3 linked regions of the Mus musculus genome follow. The protein of the gene in region 2 interacts with the protein of the main gene of each other region in a pairwise test. Links are inferred from orthologs where the notes say so. Each region holds a gene or a part of one and is shown on either strand. Other genes may lie near its edges.

The links.
Region 1: the proteins of Tmem79 (region 2) and Rprm interact in binary tests that used the Homo sapiens proteins (3 or more experiments, as listed by UniProt). The two-hybrid records come from large-scale screens. The link is inferred for Mus musculus from reciprocal best matches to the Homo sapiens genes TMEM79 and RPRM.
Region 3: the proteins of Tmem79 (region 2) and Clec7a interact in binary tests that used the Homo sapiens proteins (3 or more experiments, as listed by UniProt). The two-hybrid records come from large-scale screens. The link is inferred for Mus musculus from reciprocal best matches to the Homo sapiens genes TMEM79 and CLEC7A.

The regions. Positions count from the first base shown.
Region 1 is NC_000068.7:54,083,515-54,086,960, reverse strand, and holds Rprm (protein reprimo), read left to right. Parts: upstream 1-1,408; 5' UTR 1,409-1,656; coding exon 1,657-1,986; 3' UTR 1,987-2,868; downstream 2,869-3,446. UniProt on the Homo sapiens protein: May be involved in the regulation of p53-dependent G2 arrest of the cell cycle. Seems to induce cell cycle arrest by inhibiting CDK1 activity and nuclear translocation of the CDC2 cyclin B1 complex.
Region 2 is NC_000069.6:88,331,628-88,335,758, reverse strand, and holds the start of Tmem79 (transmembrane protein 79), read left to right. Parts: upstream 1-1,325; 5' UTR 1,326-1,377; intron 1,378-1,429; exon of another isoform or gene 1,430-1,651; intron 1,652-2,076; 5' UTR 2,077-2,119; coding exon 2,120-2,867; intron 2,868-3,105; coding exon 3,106-3,319; intron 3,320-4,131.
Region 3 is NC_000072.6:129,469,908-129,474,168, reverse strand, and holds the start of Clec7a (C-type lectin domain family 7 member A), read left to right. Parts: upstream 1-1,383; 5' UTR 1,384-1,483; coding exon 1,484-1,586; intron 1,587-3,171; coding exon 3,172-3,270; intron 3,271-4,261.

The sequences.
Region 1 (3,446 bases), on a different chromosome or scaffold from region 2:
GGTTCTTTGCTGTTCACACCTCTCTATTCTCAGTAATAAAAGAATCTAGACAGCTAGAAGAAACTGAAACTTCAAAAAAAAAAAAAAACTTGCCTAAAAGGCTCTCCTTTGTGCTTGAGGGATGGCAGCACGTTACAAGGATGCCAATAATGCCAGTACATTCAGAGGATCTGAATGTGGAATGAGTGATTCTTACAGAGGGAATTTAACAAGCAAGCATGGTGTAATTAGAAGGCTCTGTGCATGCCTATCATCACCAAAGTCAGGATTCTAAGGCTTTGATTGACCGATTCAAGGGACAGGAGAAAAGGGAAGGAGAAGAGAGGATCCTGTATCTTCTGGAGTCTAAAACAAAGTAGAAGTGGCCTGTGTGTAAGGCTCCTCTGGTAGCACTTATACCCAACAGCCACTATGGACTGAGTGTCTGCAGCTCCCCGAAATGCCTGCAGATTGCCTTGTGGTGAGGAAGGCAGGGTGGGTGGGAGCAACAGCTTCTGGAGGGAGGCGCCCAGCTGCTGGCCGACATTCTAGCTGATGGATGTAGATGAGCAATTCCCTTAAACCACTGATTTTCTGCCAAGGACAGAAAACACTGGAAGCTCATCCAAAAACTCCTCCGCAATTAAAGTGGCAATGAAGTGGTTGGTCACTCTGCCCACCTCCCTTAACAGAGAGGTGACCCTGTTCTTGGTAACCACCTCCACACACAAACCACAAAGAGAGCAAGCACCTCCTTAGACCTGCGCCTTGCCTGGGCCTCACAGCTCACTACAAACCCCGCTTTACTACACACGTAAGAGCTTTCCAAGTAGGGTGCGGACGTAGCTCTTTTATGATTTCTAAGGTTTTCCTCCATTCTCCCTTCCTTAAAACAACAATAACATCAGCAACACCCCCTACTTAAAAAAAAAAAAAAACGGGGGTGGGGGTGGGGAGAGAAGAAATTCCCAGTCTTCCCACCTGCCTTGTCTTCCAATACTCCACCAGAAAGCTTACAAGAACAGGCAGCAGCCAAACACAGGCAGCAGGCCAGTACCTTGACCAGCGCCATCTGGTACCTGTCCACCTTACATCTGCTCAGAGGTGATAGGGTGGCTTCGAAGGACACACTTAAGAGAGGGTGTGATCCGGGTCCTCTGCAACTTTCAGCCTTTCTCTCCAAGTTCTTTACTTGCTCTTCAGATCAGGAGTGCATAGTGAACCCTGCCTAGCCCTTGGAAATGCAGAAGGCACAAAGCCTGCTGCTAGGTTAGCTCCTATCTTAGCCGCCCCTCTAAGCCGAGCGGGCGCAGCAAGGCTCTATCACCAGCAGGGGCCGCTGTTCGCTTGGAGCAGGAGCCGGGCCACCGCCAAGGCCCGCGCCTCCCACGGCCCCTCCGGCCCAACCCGCCAAGTTCCAAGAGCTCCCAGTCGTGCGAGCGCCGGGAACGAGCACTGCCTGGGCAGAACACAGCGCACAGGAGCCAGCTTGCGGCGCGCCCTGAAGAGGTTCTTGAGACACTTACGGACCTGGGACTTTGAAAGGGAGACTGAGGAGCCCTGCGCGCACAAGTGATCAAGCCAGCGCTCCGCCGGGCACCTGTTCGTCCCGCGCTACAGCCACTCTGGTCCCCACCCCTCCGATCCTCGCCTTCCCGGCTCCCGCTTGCTCTCGTGATGAATTCAGTGCTGGGCAACCAGACCGACGTGGCTGGCCTGTTCCTGGTCAACAGTAGCGAGGCGCTGGAGCGCGCGGTGCGCTGCTGCACCCAGGCGTCGGTGGTGACCGACGATGGCTTCGCCGAGGGAGGCCCCGACGAGCGCAGCCTGTACATCATGCGTGTGGTGCAGATCGCAGTCATGTGTGTGCTCTCGCTCACTGTGGTTTTTGGCATCTTCTTCCTTGGCTGCAACCTGCTCATCAAGTCCGAAGGCATGATCAACTTCCTAGTGAAGGACCGGAGGCCGTCTAAAGAGGTGGAGGCAGTGGTCGTGGGACCCTACTGAGTGGCCCTCGGGTCCCCCTCGGCGGGTGCCTCCCTTCTGGCACCTCCAGTACTCCGCCAGCCGCGATGCACCCCTCACCATCACGGACCGAGCAACGCAAACCTGTCGGAGTCAGTTTTTTTCTCTTGACTTCTGCCTTTGGGGAAAAAGTGACCGATTTCTGATAGCTCTTCGAAAGGCCCCAAGCAAGACTGTACAGGAGGAGCGCCCAGACTTCGGGATACAGCAGCAGGTGGCAAAAGCAGGGCGCAGAACTTTGGGAGTGGCTGCTGGCGTGGGATACTGGGAGATGAACCAGGCGGCGAAGGCCCCTTTCCACCTGCAGGTGGGCTCAGCACTGGGGACAGCTTGAGAGGCCGAGCAAGGCGGGGTGTGGATGGGTGTGTATTCAGAGGCCCAGTGACCGGAAAAAGTGACTGTTTATTCGCCACGCTGCAGACCTAATTGGGAAGGAACATAGATGCGTGTGGGTTTTGCGACCTACTAAGAGAGTGAAACTTTGATCGATAGTAACCTGTGGTTTTAGGGGATTTGTGTTAGTTTGCTTGAATACAAATATTTGATAAGTCTTTTGTGTCCTAGTGGCCTGTTTGCCTGCCTGCGGGTTAGAGTTTTTTGTCATTCTGGGAGAACGGGTGGGGGGAGGGGAGTCTGAGACTGTGAATGGGGTAAGTGCTTTCTTTTAGTGCATTTCCAGCTGGGTCTTTATGGGAGGCTAGCGCTCCAGCTACGCCCGGGACAAAGATCCAGAGTAGAATTCTTAGCTCCTGTCTGCACGGTTTACGCCACAAAAGTGCTCTTGATATCCGTGACACCGTTTGACTCTTTTTCTTATTTAACATTTCCTTAATAAATGCAACATTTAAGTGTTTTGTTTCTGGCTTCCTGGTAGTCATTCTGTTCTCCTGGAGGAGGGGAAGGTCGGCTGCGCAGCTTCTGGGTCCCAGCCAGAAGGTTTCGCCTGGCCATAGCTGCGATTCTACTTCATAGATCCTTAGATCCATGGAGGGGAGGAGGGGCTGGACAGAGAGCCCAGGGATTTGTGACACACACGAAGCCCCAGGCATAAAAGCCATCTCGAAAACAGCGGCCTTTGTTTTCTCGCATATTTATGATTTAAAATTTCATTTCGTTTCGAATGTCAGGTAGGTTCTCGCGGGAAATTACACTTCCGTGCCAGGCTCCTCGGGGAACTCTAGGTTACCCCGCTAATGAAAGGAGGAGACAGCCAAGCCAGTCTTTAGGGAGAGCATCTTTTCCCCTACCCACGTCAGCAGGAAGGCAAGGGGATGTTGCCCCAGAAAAAGAAAAGTACAGATTCCCAGGAAAAGTAGTGGTCAAAGTTCTCAATACCAGCCAGGGTAAGCATTGTCTCCAAGTCAGAAGGGCTTAGTTGTTTTTGACGTATTATGGTTTCTAGAGAAAGGAAGATAAGCGAGCGTGAAGCAATGAGAAATGTT
Region 2 (4,131 bases):
ACAGCTAGGTGCTGGAGAAGTGACTACCCACATGGCAGCTCACAACCATCTGAAACTCCAGCTCCAGGGGGTCCGAAACCCTCATACAGACATGTTTAGAGGCAAAACGCCAAAGTGCATAAAATAATAAAACGAATGGGCCAGCTATCATTGAATCAGACATCGTTGCAGAAGAGGGGCAGCGAAAAGATTTTAAGATCCGGAGGTTGTGGAGATCGGCATGCACAAGGTCAAGTCAGCTGCCAAAATCCCAGCGCGCCTGAGGGGTGGCTCCTGAAGTTGCTTGTTTTTTAAAGGAATTCTTCCCGAGAGAGTTATTTATTTATATTTTGTGGGTGCATGCATACAACATACACGTGGCCAGAGAACTTGGGAGAGTCAGTTTTCTTTTAAAAGTGTGGTTCTCTGGGGAATCAGACTCAGGTAGTCAGGCTTGGTGAGCCATCTTGTCAGCCCTATTGTTTTCCTAACTATAAGGCGGATCTTTGGGGTTCTCTCTCTCTCTCTCTCTCCACATTATAATGGCAATGTATATACCACTATGCTCCTGGCTCCAGCCACCAAGTCTCCTTTCTATTCCTCAAACTGCCTCAAGTCTTTTTCCATCTGTTGGCTGCGCTGTTCCTCTACAGGGAACTTCCACTGGGTTTCAGCTTCAGTCACCCTAAAGAGGCTCTCACTACTGAAATTCTACTACTGATTTGGTGTGAACTTTAATGTTGGTTACCTGAACAGCTAGAAACCTTGTCACTTTGTTCTTTTCTGTACATGTGCCTAGACTAGCACTTTTTTTGTTTGTTGGAGTGTGTGTGTGTGTGTGTGTGTGTGTGTGTGTGTGAGAGAGAGAGAGAGAGAGAGAGAGAGAGTCTCTACATAACTCTGGCTGCTGGACCAGCCTGGCTTCAGACTCAGAAATCTGCCTGCCTCTGCCTCATGTGCTGGGATTAAAGGCTTGTACCACCACAGAAATAGCGCCTCATTAATAATAGATACCCAATAAACATTTACTGGATGAACAAACTTGCAGTGTCATCTTTTAGCCAATTTACTCTGAGCACCCTTTGATACACAAACCCACTTTTATACCCTGATGCTTCCCTGAGCTGGAAGCTCTTACAGATCCCAGAATACATTAAGTCCACACCTCTGTGCCCAGCTGCACCCTTACTTTCAAAAAGGATGACGTCCTCCTGTAGAGTCCTTCCAGTAGGCAGATTCTGTAGGGCAGGGCCTGCGCCTTTAATCTGGGCCCCACCCGCTCTGGTCAGACAGGTTTGGAGACACAGGCAAGGGAGGGAAACTGGGAAATACTTGCAGAGCCAGCCAGGAGCTAGGCAGCTCCTTTCCGGAGATCCTCCGCCTCTTTGCAGATGGAAAGTAAGAGGGTATCATGGATCCAAAGGGCAGGGGTAGGAGGGGCCCAAGAGGTGAACGAAGGGAGCCCAATCCAGAAGCTGTGAGCTGGAGGGTGGCAGGGGAGGAAACAAGAGGAAGGCTTGGGAACGGCCACACTAGAGCTGGGAGTCTGAGTGGAGCCCAGCCCAGCTGAATCGGGTGAGACTGGCAATGGGAGAGTTCAGAAAATGACCGACTCCTGGAATGGAGACTGAGGAACCGAGATCTGGTGTCGAGTTCCTGGAGGGACCTGCAGGTCAAAGGGCAGGTGGAAGGAAGGGGGAAGGGCCAATTTCTCTATCTATAGGGTGACCCTTGGCTGTAGAGAAACTCCGCCTAGTCCTAGACACCTCAGCCTCCCATTCCAAAGCCAGGGTGGCCAAAAATCCGGGAGTTTTAGTGGAGAGAGTAGAAGGCAGGTGTGGGTATAGACAGGCCACACCTGCCTCTGCTTGTGCCCCCTGACTCACCCTTGTCCTGCTGGATGACATTTATTTTGAAAGGGATCCTCCATTTCGCTCCTCTGCTGCCCGCCCGCCTCTCTGTTTCAACACCTTCCTCCCCACAGTGTTCTCCCTAGAGTCCCATGAGGCCAGCTTCTCTGGGGAGTTCTAGGTCTGAGAAACTGTCCTGGGGCCAGAAGACTAGGTATTCTCACAGAACTTCTCCCACTGCCTATAGGATGACATCGTTCTGTGGTAGCCCTCGGAACTGAAGCCTCACAATGACAGAACCGGAGACACTGGCCCTGCTGGACATGAAGGAACCCGAGACTCCAGAGAAGAGCCCACCGCAGGCTTTAGTCCTGCAGTCAGAGGAAGAAGGTGGGACTGAGTCCCCTGGAACTGAGTCGCTCAGAGTGGGGTCTTCAGTAGGGTCTCCTATAGTCAGAGAGGGGCCTGAGGATGGTCCAGACAGCACAATAAGTGAGGCTGCCACTTTACCCTGGGGAACTGACCCCCATCCTAGCGCCCCACTTCCGGATCCCCCGGGCTGGCGAGATATTGAACCAGAGCCCCTAGAGTCAGAGGCACCTACTAAGTCGGAGGAGCCATTCAAAGAGGATGCCAACCTGCTCCCCGAGAAGACAGTTAGGGCCTTCGTGCCCATTGATCTACAGTGCATCGAGCGGAAGCCACAGGAGGAGCGCATCCTGCATCGCGACGCTGGACCAGGCGAGCTCAGGAATTTCCTGCCAGCTCGACTCAGCCACCCTGAGCCCCCAGAGCGCAAGTGGGCTGAGGCCGTGGTGAGACCCCCTGGCCGGTCCTGCGGGGGCTGTGGAAGCTGTGGAGGTCGTGAGGCACTGAGAGCTGTCGCCTCGGTGGTGGCGGCCCTCATCTTCTTCCCCTGTCTGCTGTACGGAGCATACGCCTTCCTGCCTTTCGATGCCCCGAGGCTGCCCACCATGAGCTCCCGCTTGGTTTACACCCTTCGCTGTGGGGTCTTTGCCACCTTTCCCATCGTACTCGGTGAGTCTGGCCCCGTGGAGAAGGGCTACCTGGGAAGTGGATTACAGAGCTTTCGACTGGGTGGTTTCTCTTCATTCTGCTGGAACCACTCAGGGTATCCTGAACCTGCCACTCTCTGTCCTCTCCTCCAGGGAGCTCTTGTGTCCACTCTGTAGCCCCGACCCAAAGAGCTATCTTCTGGGAAACCCATCCCAACCTTCCTGCCTTTTCTGATCCCATGTGCTTACCCTCTTGATAGGGCTCCTTGTGTACGGGCTGAGCCTATTGTGCTTTTCTGCGCTTCGGCCCTTCGGCGAGCCGAGGCGGGAAGTGGAGATCCACCGGCAGTACGTGGCCCAGTCTGTGCAGCTCTTCATCCTCTACTTCTTTAACCTGGCTGTGCTTTCCACCTATCTGCCCCAGGACACCCTCAAGCTGCTCCCGCTGCTCACCGGTCTCTTTGCCATATCTCGGTGAGTCGGGCGGGGGCTGGGGTGGCCATGGCTGGGGTAGGCATGAGGAAGACATGATTCCAGATCCTCCAGGGAGCTGAAGGTCTGCAAACCTGAGGTCGGGGATGGGAGTCGGGGTGGGGTGTTTCTGGATGTGCACCAGGCAGTGATGAGCTTGCTGTCTGTTGAGCTACACTGGGTAGCAGTTGGTCTCAGAGCCATGGCAATGGGGAGCTTTTGACTTTTTTTTAGTATAGTGTTGAATCCATTGCCTTGCGTACTCTAACCTCATTTGTCATTTAGTGTGTTCACTGAAGCTACTTTACTCTGAAACTCTCCATCCAAATAGCTTTAAGAATTGGCCTCTAACTGGGCGTGGTGGTGCACGCCTTTAATCCCAGAATTTGGGAGACAGAGGCAGGCGGATTTCTTAGTTCGAGGCCAGCCTGGTCTACAGAGTGAGTTCCAGGACAGCCAGGGCTACACGGAGAAACCCTGTCTCGAAACAAACAATCAAAAAAAAAAAAAAAAAGAAAGAAAAGAAAGGAAAGAAGGAAGGGAGGGAGGGAGGGAGGGAGGGAGGGAGGGAGGGAGGGAGAGAGAGAGAGAGAGAGAGAGAGAGAGAGAGAGAGAGAGAGAGAAAGAAAGAGGGGCTGGTGAGATGGCTCAGTGGGTAAGAGCACCTGACTGCTCTTCCGAAGGTCCAGAGTTCAAATCCCAGCAACCACATGGTGTCTCACAACCATCCTAACGAGATCTGGTGCCCTCTTTTGGAGTGACTGAAGACAGCTACAGTGTAGTTACATATAATAAATAAATAAATCTTTAAAGAG
Region 3 (4,261 bases), on a different chromosome or scaffold from region 2:
TTGACAGCAGGTGGTAGGTAAATCCACTCTTACAGCAGATATGTTTGGGATTTGCAATATAGTATCTTTTCTCTGGCATGAGAAGTCCACCACCCTGAACAGTCTCCTCAAGGGCAAACATTCGAGGATGATTGTCCTTGCTCTTCCTCACAGTCTCTGGGAATTGGAGGAGAGTGCATTGTTTCCAGGTGTGCCACTGCCTCAAGTCATAAAGATGAGGAGTTTCTTAGTTTAATAAGTGCCAATTGACAAGTCCTGATGAAGACTCACTCTAGCTATCCCTTTAGTATTGCAGCTTTTTTTTTATTAGCACACTCTAGCCTTGAAAAAGTCTTCAAATTTTGTTTTGTGGACTCTGACTTCCATTCATGGAAAACCTTCTTCTCCAATTCAATCATATCCTTAAACTAAGTCTATTCTCATTTCTTTGATGTTCTCCTTGTTGACTTACAGCAGTAATCAAGTGATGGTTGTTTCAAAACTGTACTTATTTGATCATTTTTTGTTAATCTGAGAATTGCAAGAGAGGAGAGAGAGAGAGAGAGAGAGAGAGAGAGAGAGAGAGAGAATGAGAATTTATTTTTATGTTTCAGGCTATTATATGTATCATAAGAGTCCAGAAGAATGAAGCCAGTGCAACAGTAAGTAATTCCAAGTCTTAAAAACTTAGTAGACTTTGTTCTAGTCCCTTGTTCTAGTTTTGAAATTTCCATCTTCGAGTATCCATGTCTTCTTCTCCTTATTTGAAAATAGTAATGCTAATATGTGCTAAAGCGTAATTCTTAGAGAGGGCGACAGAATGAGAATGCGGGTGTGCTGTGAAGTAACTAAGGCAGAATCATTCCCAGTAAATGTTTGCGCCTATCTATTTCTACTCCATGATAAACCTCCAAGAGAATCATTCGCTTTGTGTCGCTGGAGTGATGTACTTTGGATGCTCAGCTGTGATTCCTCCATCAGGCAATAAATTTCCTTGTGGAGAGCCTTCCGCCAATGCTGCCGACTCCAGGCAGTTATAGAGTATTTACTACAATGGATGGCATGAACACATGAAAGGATGTGGGGATGCAATCAGAGTTCTAACAAGCCAGTGTCGAATTCAAGACACTCAAACTGCTTAAAAGTTTATGTAGGCCATACCAATTAATCGTGTCAGTTTCAATGGGGAGTGTAACCAATGTCTTTTAAGACTGTAGTCAATGGATCAGTCATACAGTTGATCTAAAACGACAGTCATGCATCATACAGCATTTCAGTTTTCTTCAGAAGTTACAGCCTCAGAAACAGGATCTAGAGGAAAAAAGGGAAATTACTCCAACGCGTTTTCATTTCCTGCTTTGGGCACTGGCTTGACTACTTAAGCTGTGCTCCATGAACCTCGCAAAGGGCTGTTTCAGGGTTTGGGTTAGTGAGCCTCATCCTGGCAGTTATTTTATAGTAAAGAACATTCAAGTGCTCTGCCTACCTAGGGCCCTGTGAAGCAATGAAATATCACTCTCATATAGAGAATCTGGATGAAGATGGATATACTCAATTAGACTTCAGCACTCAAGACATCCATAAAAGGCCCAGGGGATCAGAGAAAGGTATCCATTTTCTTTCTGCTAACAGCACCTTTGTTCTCATTAACTGAAATAACAGAAGTAGAGACCTGGAGAGATTCTTGATTTGTAGAACTGCCTACAAAAATATATTTTCATATATGCGTGTGTGTATGATATATATTTGGTATATGTGGTATGTATATGATATGTATATATATATATATACATGTATACACACATATATATGTATGTATGTATATATATGTATATATATATATATATATATGTATATATATATATATATACATGTATACACACACGTGTGTGTGTGTGTGTGTGTGTGTGTATAGTTTTAAAGACTGCTGGAAGTCATCAACGACTTCCACAAATTGCTTTTGGTTTATGGCAGAAAACAGGACTACTCTACTCTACAGTCAGAGGTAGCACTGGTAACATGAGTAAAAGAGAAAGATGAAAGAATTTTAGTAGAGTTGCTTTTTCCTTGTTTTTTAGCAACTTGTGAGGGGGCCAGGAAACAGATAAACGAACAACCTGTACAATCATACAACACAGTATGCTAAAGTCATGGTCCTCTATGCAACCATAGAGGAGTGTGTGGGAAATAAAAATGAATGCATCTTTGGTTAAACCCAAAGAGAAGCCAGGAGTCATGGGGTGTAAATCCCAAATCCGCTATGCTCTTTTGGTAAGAGATTAATTTGGATTTTATAAAACGAGATGTTAGTATGTCAGCTATGGAAAACACAAGCTACATTAAAATGTCTCATTATCAGGAGATAGATATTAAAACGGAAACAAGACAAGAATAAAGGACATTAAAGTCCTAACACGGAGTGAGTGTTTTAGTCTCTTTCAGGGTCACCTATTGGGCAGCTCTATGACTTGGCTTTCTGTTGTTGGTATCATCAGCTTAAAACAAAAATCAGTTCGCTGTTAACTTAAAGGAAGAGATGACTGACGGGTTCTAATGTCAGTTTGTTTTCTTCCGCTTTTTGATGTTCACATTATGCAATTATTTATAACCACTTACACAATCACTCTCTTGTGAAATTTGCTTGGAAAATAGTCTAAAAATTGATTGAGGGAAGGGGCATGGCTTATATGCGTATGCTGCGTAAACTAAAGTGCTCAGTCCCAGCAACAGTATTTGAAGGTACTATTGATCTAATTTCAAAACTTGGAAATAAAAAAAATAAATAAAAACAAAGGCATAGAGAAAATAACTTGTTTAAATCATGCACCATATAAATGACAAGAAAAAGCTATCCTTAGTCATTGGTGCTGTTTCTCCTACAGAAAGCTATTTGCTCTGTGACCAAGTAGGACTTCAGGGAATGGATAGTGTCCAGATCTATAGACTAGCCTGTGAGCCTACAATGGAGGAGTTACAGATGGTATGGCCATGATGCCATGGCTGAAGCAATGGAGGAAGAGGCATCCTGAAGTTGGAGGAAAATGGAGATTTACACTACAATGTTAGATTCTCAAGTCGCTAGAGCCTAGTGTCTGCTGATCCCTTTAGAACCACCCAAATTTCAGGGAACTAAGCTGTTAAAGAGTTCCATCATCTTCCCTCATTTTCTTTCTCATCTCTCTTACTTTCCAGGAAGCCAGGCTCCATCTTCACCTTGGAGGCCCATTGCAGTGGGTTTAGGAATCCTGTGCTTTGTGGTAGTAGTGGTTGCTGCAGTGCTGGGTGCCCTAGGTGAGTATGGGTGAGGGAGGTTGATGCAGTCGTAAACAGTGATTATGCAATTAATTGATGCCAAGAACTCTCTCAAGGGCTTGGCATGCATAACCTCATTTAATCTGTATATTAATTCCATTAAGTTTGTGCTATTAATTTCTGTTTTAGTTATAGGAGAATTGAGAGAGTGGAAGATTAACTCTTCCATAGTTATAACCTAGTTATTGGTGAGATTATAAGAAATGGTGGATTATAGAAAATCTGCTTAGTAAAACATATATTCATGAGTATATTACTCTACTATAGATAGGTGATTTTCTTTTTAAAGTAAAACTGAAAGTAAAAGTTAGTGGAGGGAAACTTGCAGAGTCAAAAGAAGCCTAATCTTTCCTAGGAGACAGATGTATTAAATGAGTTTTGTGTAATTTTTGAACATCTCATGACATGATACATGGGAATTATCTTTTTTTTATTTAGGTATTTATTTCAGTTACATTTCCAATGCTATCCCAAAAGTCCCCCACACGCTCCCCCACCCACTCCCCCACCCTCCCACTCCCACTTCTTGGCCCTGGCGTTCCCCTGTACTGAGGCATATAAAGTTTGCACGACAAATGGGCCTCTCTTTCCACTGATGGCTGACTAAGCCATCTTCTGATTCATATGCAGCTAGAGACACGAGCTCTGGGGAGTACTGGTTAGTTCATATTGTTGTTCCACCTATAGGGTTGCAGATCCCTTTAGCTCCTTGGTTACTTTCTCTAGCTCCTCCATTGGGGGCCCTGTGATCCATCGAATAGCTGACTGTGAGCATCCACTTCTGTGTTTGCTAGGCCCCAACATAGTCTCACAAGAGACAGCTATATCTGGGTTCTTTCAGCAAAATCTAGCTAGTGTATGCAATGGTGTCAGTGTTTGGAAGCTGGTTATGGGATGGATCCCCGGATATGGCAGTCTCTAGATGGTCCATCCTTTCATCTCAGCTCCAAACTGTGTCTCTGTAACTCCT